Notamacropus eugenii: one gene and its partners. The protein of the gene in region 1 interacts with the protein of each later gene in a pairwise test. Links are inferred from orthologs where the notes say so. Each region holds a gene or a part of one and is shown in the gene's direction. Other genes may lie near its edges. The genes, in order: PPP1CA, RANBP9 and ZFYVE9.

What was found.
Region 2: the proteins of PPP1CA (region 1) and RANBP9 interact in a two-hybrid assay, tested with the Homo sapiens proteins (2 studies listed by BioGRID and IntAct). The link is inferred for Notamacropus eugenii from reciprocal best matches to the Homo sapiens genes PPP1CA and RANBP9.
Region 3: the proteins of PPP1CA (region 1) and ZFYVE9 interact in binary tests that used the Homo sapiens proteins (3 or more experiments, as listed by UniProt). The link is inferred for Notamacropus eugenii from reciprocal best matches to the Homo sapiens genes PPP1CA and ZFYVE9.

Annotation. Positions count from the first base shown.
Region 1 is NC_092873.1:19,861,114-19,864,938, reverse strand, and holds the start of PPP1CA (serine/threonine-protein phosphatase PP1-alpha catalytic subunit), read left to right. Parts: upstream 1-1,588; 5' UTR 1,589-1,681; coding exon 1,682-1,736; intron 1,737-1,914; coding exon 1,915-2,046; intron 2,047-2,431; coding exon 2,432-2,662; intron 2,663-2,786; coding exon 2,787-2,891; intron 2,892-3,038; coding exon 3,039-3,262; intron 3,263-3,342; coding exon 3,343-3,477; intron 3,478-3,565; coding exon 3,566-3,676; 3' UTR 3,677-3,825. Other genes in the region: TBC1D10C (carabin), read right to left, coding at 1-125. UniProt on the Homo sapiens protein: Protein phosphatase that associates with over 200 regulatory proteins to form highly specific holoenzymes which dephosphorylate hundreds of biological targets.
Region 2 is NC_092875.1:185,683,943-185,687,767, reverse strand, and holds the start of RANBP9 (ran-binding protein 9), read left to right. Parts: upstream 1-1,058; 5' UTR 1,059-1,483; coding exon 1,484-2,057; intron 2,058-3,825. UniProt on the Homo sapiens protein: May act as scaffolding protein, and as adapter protein to couple membrane receptors to intracellular signaling pathways. Acts as a mediator of cell spreading and actin cytoskeleton rearrangement.
Region 3 is NC_092873.1:512,294,498-512,298,322, forward strand, and holds the start of ZFYVE9 (zinc finger FYVE domain-containing protein 9), read left to right. Parts: upstream 1-1,471; 5' UTR 1,472-1,559; intron 1,560-1,727; exon of another isoform or gene 1,728-1,882; intron 1,883-3,825. UniProt on the Homo sapiens protein: Early endosomal protein that functions to recruit SMAD2/SMAD3 to intracellular membranes and to the TGF-beta receptor.

The DNA of each region.
Region 1 (3,825 bases):
AAGCCATAGCGGTCAGCCCTGCGGTAGGGTCCCGGACCATTGAGCTCTGAGTCTGAGCCAAGGGAGCTGGAGTCATCCTGGATATCAGGGGCCTGGGCCAGGTCCTCCCCCAGGGCGGCAGCCATGGATGGCCTGCCCCCTGCTCCTGCAAAGAATCAGAAGCCAGCATCCCGGGGTTACCAGGAGGTCGCTGGCAGCCCCCAGGCCAGGTTCAACCCAGCTTCGTCCATCCTCCTCCTCACCCCCAGGCCCAGACCTGAGCTCCCCCTCCTCAGCTTACACCTGACTCACCTCAGACCGCTGCTGCTTTGCTCAGCCCCTCTTCTCACCTCTGGGGCGCTGGCGCTCTCTCACTTCCTCCCCAGAATCATTTCCTCCTTAGCTGGGTAGCCCCTGGGGTGGGGGTGGGGGCCCACTCTGCCCCTCGCTTTTTCCTGCCCTGACCCAGCCTCCTGCCCCCCACCTGCCTTTCCTTCTTGCGCCCCAGGGATGGCTGGGCTCTCCCCTGCCCCATCACCCTTATATCCAGAGGGCCGACCCCCCCCCCCAACCTTGCCGAAGCTGCTTCTGCGGGGTCTCTCCTCCCTCCTCACATAAGGAAGCCCTGTGCAGTCAGAAGCCTCCGACTCTCTAGGACTCAGTTTCTCCCTTTGTGGTTCTGAATCTGACAATCTCATGGCGCGGCCTCCAGCCCAGGATGGACCACGGGTGGGCTTCCTCGGACTTCCAGCTCCCACGTGGGGGCTGGTCCTGCGTGCTGGCCCACAGCTAAGCGGGAGCCCGGGGGGCAGGGACGGCGCCACTGTCCAGGGTCCTGGAGAGCCCGAGGGCTCAGAAGGCGGCCGAGCGTTCCCGGGGGGGGGGGGTCCCCTGCTGGGAGGGTCCCCCCAGGCCTCCCTTCCTTCCAGCTCCACTTCCCTGGTCTTCCCTCGAACTCCCGCCCCTCCCCCCTCATCATCACCACCACCACCAAGGCGAACGTCTCTGTAGCGCTCTAGGGCTTATAAAGTCCTGACAGCCCCATTTTAAAGACTAGGAAACGGAAGCAGGCAGAGGTTGGGAGAGCAGCCAGGGGTCTAGGGCTGGGGAGGAACGGTCCGAAGGCATATTCGAACCCGCAGCTTGAAGGATCACCGTGGGCAAAGCGCCACCTCGCGGCCCATTTCCCTCTTCTTTCTCGGCCCCCTCTAGGCCCCGCCCCTCTCCCACCACGGGCCCCGCCCACTCCCCCTTCCAGTTCCCTCTTCATTTCCTGGTCCCGCCCCTGTTCTCGGCCTCTTTTCCGGCTCTGGCTGGGGCCCCTCCCTAGCCCTCCTCCTGCTTCTTTTCCTCCTCTTGTCGGGGCCGGCTCTTGACTCGTCGGTCCCACCCCTCCCCTCCTCCTATCCGGGCCGCCGGCTCTCTCCCGGTCCCACCCCTCGTCTCCTCCTCCTCCTATAAGAGCCCTCCGATCGCTCACTGGTCCCGCCTTCCTCCGCCACCGCCGCGGCTGCTCCCCTCCCGCCCGGAGGGCGGCGCTGTGGCGCGCGGCTCGGGGCGGGGCCTGGGCGGGGGCTGAGGCCGCGGGCAGAGGGCGGAGGGCGCGGCGGCGGAGGCGGCGGCGGCGTGAGCGGGCGGCGGGAGCGGCGGCGGCGGGCACGGGCCGGAGGGACGGAGCCGGGGCCCTCGGGGCGGTGCCGCCATGGCCGACAGCGAGAAGCTCAACCTGGACTCCATCATCGGGAGGCTGCTGGAAGGTACCGGGCGGGGCCCGGGGGCCCGGACGGGGGCGGCCGGAAGCGGGGCCGGGGCTTCGCCGGAAGTGCCCGCGGGAGGGGAGGGTGGGGGCCGGGCGGAAGTGCGGCGGGGGCGGGGGGCACCCGGGAACTGGGGGGGGGGGGGCGGGGGCAGGCGGTCTCTGAGGCCTGTGTCCAGTGCAGGGCTCCCGACCCGGCAAGAACGTGCAGCTGACGGAGAACGAGATCCGCGGCCTGTGTCTCAAGTCCCGGGAGATCTTCCTGAGCCAGCCCATCCTCCTCGAGCTCGAGGCACCCCTCAAGATCTGCGGTGAGACCCCCGAGGGGGGCGGCCGGAAGTGCCCGTACGCCGGACACGGCCTCTACAAAGGCCTGGAGGTGGGAGATGAGTCTGAGCCAGGGCGCCCTCCCACCTCTCGACCAGCCCCTTGTAGGGTTTGGGCCAAGCCTCGGTGGTGCTTTGCACCCTACCCCCTCCCCCAGGGCCTAACAGGGTCAAGACGGGGCCAGTGATTGGCTGCAGTGGGAGCTGGGCACCCATGCCCCACTCTCTGAGCCCAGGACAGTTGCCTTCCCAAGGGGGATTTTGAATGGAGCTGGAGTGGCCTGGAGGTCCTTCCCTCCCTGGTCTGGGCTCTTCATGAGTCCAGGGGGTCATTGGCCCACCCTGTTCACGGGCTCCTCTCCCTACGTAGGTGACATCCACGGCCAGTACTATGACCTGCTCAGACTGTTCGAGTACGGGGGCTTTCCCCCGGAGAGCAACTACCTCTTCCTGGGGGACTATGTGGACCGGGGCAAACAGTCCCTGGAGACCATCTGCCTGCTGCTGGCCTACAAGATCAAGTACCCAGAGAATTTCTTCCTCCTTCGAGGGAACCACGAGTGTGCCAGCATCAACCGCATCTACGGCTTCTATGACGAGTGTGAGTGGGGGGTGAGGACAAGGGCGGACGGGTAGTTGAGCCCTTCTCAGGGCTAAGTGGGGGGTCAGCCCCCAGGGCTCATTAGCAGCCTGTCTTCATGGAGCTCCCTCTCCTTCCCTCACAGGCAAGAGACGCTACAACATAAAGCTCTGGAAAACCTTCACGGACTGCTTCAACTGCCTGCCTATTGCAGCCATCGTAGACGAGAAGATTTTCTGCTGTCACGGGGGTGAGGCTTGGTGTGTGGGGCACTGTGACCCTGGGGCTACCTCCCACTTCTTCCAGAGGGTGGGAGGGTCTCCAGCCTGGGGTAGGGGAGTGGTCACCCACCAGGCCAGTCAGGGCTGAGGGGCTCAGAGGAGGCCGCCTTCTCCAGGACTGTCCCCAGACCTACAGTCCATGGAGCAGATCCGGCGCATTATGAGGCCCACAGACGTGCCGGACCAAGGGCTGCTGTGTGACCTCCTGTGGTCAGACCCTGACAAAGACGTGCAAGGCTGGGGGGAGAATGACCGTGGCGTCTCCTTTACTTTTGGAGCTGAGGTGGTGGCCAAGTTCCTTCATAAACATGACCTGGACCTCATCTGCAGAGCACACCAGGTCAGGGACTGGGGCTAGGGGCAGGACGACCTGGCCCGGCCCAGAGGGAGGGATGCTGACCAGGCTTTGCTTTGGCCCAGGTGGTAGAAGATGGTTATGAATTCTTTGCCAAGCGGCAACTGGTGACCCTCTTCTCTGCCCCCAACTACTGTGGTGAGTTTGACAATGCAGGCGCCATGATGAGTGTGGATGAAACCCTCATGTGCTCTTTCCAGGTGCGTGAGCCCAGGGCTGGAGAGGGAAACTTTCTGGGACCAGCCTCTCCCCAGGGCAGCCCATCTGACCAGCCCTATCTCTCCGCAGATCCTTAAGCCAGCCGACAAGAACAAAGGCAAATATGGGCAGTTTAGTGGCCTGAATCCTGGTGGCCGCCCCATCACCCCACCCCGTAACTCTGCCAAGGCCAAGAAATAGCCGTCGTGGGCATGACTGATTGTACAGAAATCCTGGCTCCTCCTGGGGTCTCTGACATCCAGGAGAGCCTCTAGTTGCAGGGAGCACCAAACCTTGGTGTAATTTTCTTTTATAAAACAAAATCAAATAGTCTACTTCCCTCTAGCCTT
Region 2 (3,825 bases), on another chromosome or scaffold:
TTCATGGCATGAAAAATGTAAAGTTTATATGTGCTGGGAGAGGACCATCATAGGATTTTAGAGTTGCAAGGAACCTTAGATGTCAGCTAGTGTAATTCACGCATTTCACAGGTGAGGAAGACTGAGCAGAAAGGACACTCGAGGATGAGGAGCAAGCTCTAAACAAAGTCCAAAGAAAAACTGTTACTTTTTCTTGGCGTCACAGGAATTCTTAATGTGTTTGTTAATTGCAAACTCAGGATTCCTGTAGGGACTTCTGAAGCTACTGTCTACATCCCGAACAAGTGTAAGCAGACAGGGCGAGCGGGCACGGCCGGGCTCTCCGGCCTGTCCGGAGCCGGCACCACTCCGAAGTGGCCTGCTGGGGGGCACTCAGCTCTGCCCCGTGGGTGCTCAGCGCTGCGGGCTGAGGGGATGCTGCACCGACACCAGCACTCGATTACTCTAGCCTAAGCGAGAGGCTGCGGCTAGAGCCGCCGCTGGTGGAGGGAGGAGGGCGACAAAACAAAAAGAAGTACAAGTAGGAGGGGGAAGAAGAGGAGCCGGAGCGGCGGGTTGGCTGGGGGAAAGGCGGACCCGAGAAATAAAGGAGAGGACGAGGGGGAGGGTGGCGTGGAAGAGAGCACGCCGCGAAACCCAGAGCTCCTTCCTGGCGTGAAGGGGACGCGGGGATCACTCAAGTGGTGAGTCCCCGAGGCATCCCCGGGAGAAGCCCAGCTGATCGGACTCGCGCGTGCGCGCACTGGCTGCCAGGCCACTCTACCGCCTCCTCCCCCTCCCCCTCATCGCGCACAGACCGCAGCGCCTCCGGCAGCCCTCCCCGCTTCTCCACCCTCCGGGGACCAGGCCCGCCGAGCTCGCCGGGATCTCGCGCTCTTTGGCCGACCTACGGCGCGCCCTCCCTTCAGTTCCTCCCCGCCCCCTCTCGTTCTCTCCTCCCTCTCTCCCTCCCCCCGCCCCTCTCCCCGTTCCTCCGTCCCTGCCCCTCCCCCCTCTCCCCGCCTCTCTCGCCTAGCGCCGCCTGCGCGCTACGTCTTGCGCCGGCGGAGTCCGCCGCAGGCTAACAGCGGCAGCGGCAGCGGCGGCGGCAGCACCGACCTCCTCCGCCTGTTCCCTCGCGCGCTCCCCCCGCCCGCCCTCCGTCTCCCTCCATCTCCCTCCGTCGCTTCGGCCGTCTCCGTGCCTCGCGCGACTGCCCAGCTCGAGCCAACGTTCTTTCTCTCAACCTCCCCCCCTCCGCTCCTCCATCCCCGGCTCTCAGCCCAGCGTCTTCTCGGCTTCCCCTCCCCCACGAGCCCCCCAACCGCCGCGCTCACCCCTAGGCGCGCGGGCCCGCCGCCTGCTTCCGGGGAGAGGGGGGGTGGGGGCGGGCGGACGGACCGACGGACTGGGCCAGTGCTGGCAGCGCCCCTGGAGAGCGGAGGAGGAAGAAGGAGAAGAGGAGGAGGCGGAGGCGGGGGTGTGAGTCTCGGCCGGGATCGGGATGTCCGGGCAGCAGCAGCAGCAGCAGCAGCATCCACATCCACAACAGCAGCAGCAGCCGCTGCCGGCCGTGGCTCCGGCCCCGGGGGTCGTCCTGCCAGCCCCCACCCCCGTTAGTGCCGGCTCCTCTCCGGTCGGCCCCGGCGCGGCCGCGTCCCCGGCTGGGGCAGCAGGAAGCGGCGGCGGCGGCGTCGGGGTGGGGGCCGGGGCGGCCGCCCTGCTCCTGCACCCGCCACCTCCGCCGCCGCCCCCGGCCACCGCGGCCCCGCCGCCGCCTCCGCCGCCGCCTCCCCCGCCTCCGGCCGCGGCCGCCGCTTCCCCGGCCCCCGGCATCTCGGCGGCTGCCAGCCCTGCCGGAGGGGCCCCGCCGGTGGCCACGGGGAGCAGCGCCCCGGCCCCCTTTCCCCACGGGGACCCGGCCCTGAACGAGCAGGAGAAGGAGCTTCAGCGGCGGCTCAAGCGTCTCTACCCGGCGGTGGACGAGCAAGAGACGCCGCTGCCTCGCTCGTGGAGCCCGAAGGACAAGTTCAGCTACATCGGCCTCTCGCAGAACAACCTGCGGGTCCACTACAAAGGTAAGTGGCCTAGGCCCCCCACCCGGAATCCCGCCACTTCCGTGTTTTTGTTTTTAAAAGGCTTTTTCGCTGCCGAACTTGTTTTCAAAGGGTTTCAAATTCGGCGATGGAGGGTGGTGGAAAGAAAGGTGGGGGCAGGCCGCATCCGAGGGACTGGGAAGATCCTGGGGAAAGGAAAGTGAGCATAATTATCCTGAGCAGAGATGTAGTAATCTTCGAACCCGTAACAGGACACCTTGAAAGGATCCAGAAAGGAAACATTTTTTGCAACAATGTCAGGACAGAACTCTTTTCTGATCTCTCTTAAAGTAGAGCAAACTTCTATCTTCTGTGTTGTGGTTACATTGTTCTCCCAGGATTCTCGCTTTAATTCTTTTGGTGGAGGGATAAAAAGAATCTTAAGTATAATCACTTATCTATGGAGGTCAGGAACACGAAGGAGATGGATGTTTATTTAGTGCAAGATTTTTCCGAAAAGTAGGCCAGAAATTGTTTAGAAAAGGAAGAACCAAGGGCACAAGTTCGAAGTCAACGTATTTCATCAGACACAACAGGGAAGTGTCAGGAAGGTGAAGCCACAAAAACAAATCTTGGCTACTGAAACGTAGTAGAAAGGGGAATAGCATTAAAGTAATCTGTACTTTTATATAGATAGAGGTAGTGTTGTGGAAACAAGATTATTTCACACTTGCTAATGTCTTGATATTGCTATTACATACTTTTAATTTACAAGATCTCTGTGACTGTCAGCAGACATTCTCAAAACAAAGCTTTCTGAAAAAATAGCTGTGAATAAAATTGCATATTGTGTGGAGACAGGGCTTGAAATTCCCTGAAAAGTAAACAGCAGCTATGTTAATCTGAACAGTAAATATATTAATCTGACCTATTTTTTAAAAAAAATCCATCTAACAATAAATATTAAATCTGGAAACAAATATACTGTTTTAGGCCCAAGACCTGAAATAAGAGCTTTCATGTTCAAAACAGCCTCTTTTTGATTGACTGCAATGAGAGGGTCTTGATGGAGTCCTAGGCAGATGAACATAGAGGGCAAAAACAACTTTGTGGTTAAATCTTTAAAGTATACAGGGTGAAATTTGAGACAGACTTAGATAAATGAGTTACTGTTTAATCATAAAGGAGAATGGCTACAGGCACATAGCTAGCATGATTTGGCTGTACTGAGAAGACCCATATACATTAAATCTGGTGTTGCTGAATATTGATTTCCTCATTTTTTTCTTGCCACTTCTAGACAGCATTGCCAATTTAAAACAATTACATTGTTAAAAATTTCAGAATAATATACTAGTTGTTAAACTTTTAACTTTCTATTTTTATTACTGAGGTTTTATGCTATGTGGATATGGTTTTTATCTTTGATATAACTTCCAAAAAAGTTTCCTAAGTTGGACTTGATAGATTCTCATTTTTATTACAAACTTCAGTCAATGGAAAAATATATGTAAACCAGTTTTAGTGTCGTGTGGTGGAAAGAACCACTGGAGTCAGTTAATTTTAGCTATTACTCTTGATTGTATTATTTAATGTGATCTTGAGCACGTCACGGACCTCACCTTCCTCATCTGTACAATGAAGCAAAGATCCTAGGAACTTTTATTGACTTTAGTTTCTTTAACTTAGGCATAAATATGGTCTTAATTGTTTAAGTCAATTTCAATAGCTACTTTAAAAGTGAATAATGAAAATGAATTATTTTATGTGCGTTTTGTGAAGTCAGCAACATGTCAAAAATACTACACTC
Region 3 (3,825 bases), about 490 Mb from region 1:
ATGGTGCCGACCCTGTTCAGGTGCCCGCTCTGGCTGCTGCCTCCTCTGCTCGGTGCTGCTATGGGAAGGGAAGGGGATAGAATGCTGGGAATAACTGTGAGGATGCAAGAACTGAAGATATCAATAAGTACTTACTTAAAAAAAATAAAGAATCTCTAGCTTCCTTCAAAACTCAGCTCCACGTGCTCCTCCTACAAAGACCCATTCCACGTGCTGGAGCATAATCCTGCATTGACCGAGTTTATAGGGATGGGGGTACCTCCTCTGTCCTGTCTCTAGTTTCTATTTGTCCGGTGCAGGAAGCTCTAGGAATGGAAGTTTCTTGAAGGCAGGGACAGTGGCCGTGTTGCCTTCCATTACTAGCGCCTAGGAGGGGTCTTCATGGTGACGGGATGCCTGGAGGCCGAGCCAAAAGCCTTCCCTTGAGGAATCCTCCCAGCACATCAGCCTTGGTGCTGGGCTAGGAGCCCCCTTCTCCCTGGGGGCGGAGCTAGGGGCCAGGCTGGGACCCTTCTGCTCCTTTGGGGGCGGAGCTGGGGGGGGGGCCTCTGCTCCTTTGGGGGCGGAGCTAGGGGCCAGGCTCGGACCCTTCTGCTCCTTTGAGGGCGGAGCTGGGGGGGGGCCTCTGCTCCTTTGGGGGCGGAGCTGGGGGGGGGCCTCTGCTCCTTTGGGGGCGGAGCTGGGGGGGGGGCGCCTCTGCTCCGTTGGGGGCGGAGCTGGGGGGGGGGGCCTCTGCTCCTTTGGGGGCGGAGCTAGGGGGCCATGCTCGGACCCTTCTGCTCCTTTGAGGGCGGAGCTGGGGGGGGGGGGTCTCTGCTCCGTTGGGGGCGGAGCCTCTGCTCCTTTGGGGGCGGAGCTGGGGGCCAGGCTCGGACCCCTCTCCTCGCTCCTGGCCCTGGGTCTCCGATTGCCTCTTTTGGGACTGGCAGGGATAGTAGCCCGTCTCCAGCCCCATCCCCTCAAGGGGTCGGAGCTGGGCCTCGGGCCCGCCCTCTAAGCCATGCCCGTGCAGGCTGGCCAAGTTGGCAGCGGCAGCTGCTAAGGCGGCGGCCGTGCTAAGCCTAGGTGGAGTGCGGCGGCAGGCGGCGCGGCCCGGCCCGGCCCGGCCCGGCCCCGCCCGCCTCGCCTCGGGCTCCCTCCGCCTCCCTCCTCCCCCCTCCCCCCTCCCTCCTCCCCCGCGGCCGCCCCGCCCCCGTCGGCGGCCGCCGCAGTCAGTCCGGGCGCCGTAGCCCGAGCCCCGGCCAGGGGGCGCTGCGGGGCGGGGCGGCCGCGGCGGCCGGAGGACCAGGACCAGGACCGGCACCGGAGCGGAGAGGGAGGACGGCCGGGCGGCAGGGGCGGCGGCCGGAGTTGCGCTCCCTCCTCGGTGCGGGAGTCCCTCGCTCGGGGCCCGGCCCCGGAGCCGGAGCCAGGGCCGGTCGGGCGGGGCCGGAGCCCAATGCGGAGCGGGCGGCGCGGGGCGGCAGCGGCGGCGGGCGCGGGGGCTGCGCCCTCCCCAGGCGGCCCCGGCGCGGGGGCCCCGGCCATGCGGACCCGGGCGGCGGGAGCGGCGGCCCGCGGTAAGTGCGCGCGCGGCGCGAGCCGGGGGGAGGGGGGCGCGGGAACGCGCGGCCCGCTCACGCACCCCGCCCGCGCCCGCGGGGGTCTCCGTGGGGGGCGGAGGGGCAGCCGCATCGGGGCCGGGGCGCGGGGGGAGGTGGCAGTGCCCGGGAGCCCGCTGCCCCCTCCCCCGCCGTCCCCTCGCCCACGGGCACACAATGCCCGGCACACGCAGGGATCCCGGCACCCAGGTCCACCCAGCGCGGGCCCAACCTACGCATATGTGAGCGGCCCCCCACCCCCACACATGTACGCGGCATATGCGGGCACGCAGCACTCACACGTACGTACGCATGTACGCCTTCCCGGACCCGCAGCCCCCCGCTGCCGGGGAGGGGGGGAGGGCTCCCCTGGGCCCCGGGTCCCCCTGTTGGGCCTCCCAGAGAGACCCCAGCCCTGCGGGCGGAGGGACTGTGTGTATGTTTGCGTGGGCTGCGCGTGGGCGCATGTGATGCCTCTGTGGGGAAATCCCCGGGCATCCTCGGGCGCGCCGGGGCTGGCACCTCGCCGGCATCCAGTTCGAGGCCCTGCCCGCGACCTCCTGGCCCTGCGGCTCGGGCTGCCCCGGCACCCCAGAGCCCCTTCGTGGGCAGGAGAACCTCCGGGAGCAACTGGTGCTTCGCCACCCCGCATTGCCCGGGGGCACCTGGCCTCCCCGCAGCCCCGAAGGCTGGCACCCCCCTAAGCCCTGCTTGGCGGCCCGGGGGCAGCCTCCAGTTGTGATAAAGAGGTGGGCTGGGCAGTGGGGGCTGTTCCGGAGCAGGGCAGGACCTCCCTGAGGAGTCCTCCAGGTTACTGCTAAGTAGGTCCAGATGATGAGTGGCGGAGGAGGGGTGGTTTTTTATCGCTCTAACTAGCCACTGAACAGGTACCAGATGGCAACGGAATAGATCTTAATTTTTAGAAATGAATTATCTTCTTTGCATATTAGTGGAAAAAGAACGTTACTGATTACAATGTGATACCATAAATAAGGTGTTCATGGAAAATGTGAATATAGCATTTTCTTGTCTTCACCTTGACCTACTGTGAATAGGTAAACGTCTTTTACAAAGAGTGACTTTGGAGAGAGGACATTTTCTACTTTTTGGATTGAAGCTTCAACGCTAGTTTGTCATTATTTGTGGTTTAATAGAGTACATAAGGTGTATCAACTTTATGACTTGGGAGACTTTATGATTCTATTATTTAATTGACTCAACCTTATATCCCCACTAAATTATTGGTATTAAAGAGATGTGCATTTGTTTCTGGGAGAACTTAGGTCATTAAAGGAGCTTTGTGATTTCCTGAAGGCAACCCAATTTGTTTTACTTTTGCTGTTTTATTTAAGTATATATATATATATATATATATATATATATATATATATATATATATATATATGTATGTGTGTTATTGATCAGTTGAGTTTGACTCTTGGTGACCCCATTTGGGATTTTCTTGGCAAAGATCCTGGAATGGTTTGCCATTTCCTTCTCCTGCTCCTTTACTGATTTGGAAACCTAGGCAAACAGGGTGAAGAGACTTGCCCAGGGTCATGCAGCTAGTAAGTGTCTGAGGCCGGATTTGAACTCAGATTTTCCTTCCTCCAGGCCAGGTGCTCTTTGTATTTAGACACCTAGCTGCTTAGTCTCATAGACAAACTCTCTAGGTTAGGTGAGACTCTGTGGTAAATTGAGGGAAACACCTGGACAAGAGGCACATGGGATTGAACGGCGTGGTGGGCTGAGATTCTGCAGTTGAAGCTCCTATCTAAAAGATTCCACATCCATTTGGGTGTTATTTCATTATCATTGTTCTAAACTAGAGAGCAATGGAACATGAAGATGAGATTTTATTGATCACACTATTGTAGTTGCAGCACCAGAAGGAACCTTCTGTGCTCTATTACATTATCTTTCCTCCAGACCATCCTGGTAAATTGGCCTTTCTTCGTTTCTTAAATATCTCCATGAGAGAATATTAGGCATCTTCCTTTGATAACCCACTGAAGTACTCAACAGATAGATTTTTGGTAAAAAATGAAAGTATTTCTATGTTTTCCCCACTCCTTCAACATTATTAAAATACGCTGGCACTTTATCAACTTACCTAGCTCAACCAGCTGTAGTATAATGTCCTTGTTCTTCAGGTGGGTTTCAGGATGGAAGTATGGCAGAACATCTCTGCAAATTCCACAAGGACTTGAGGTAGCACTAGGTTCAAATTTTACTTCTTGCTCTC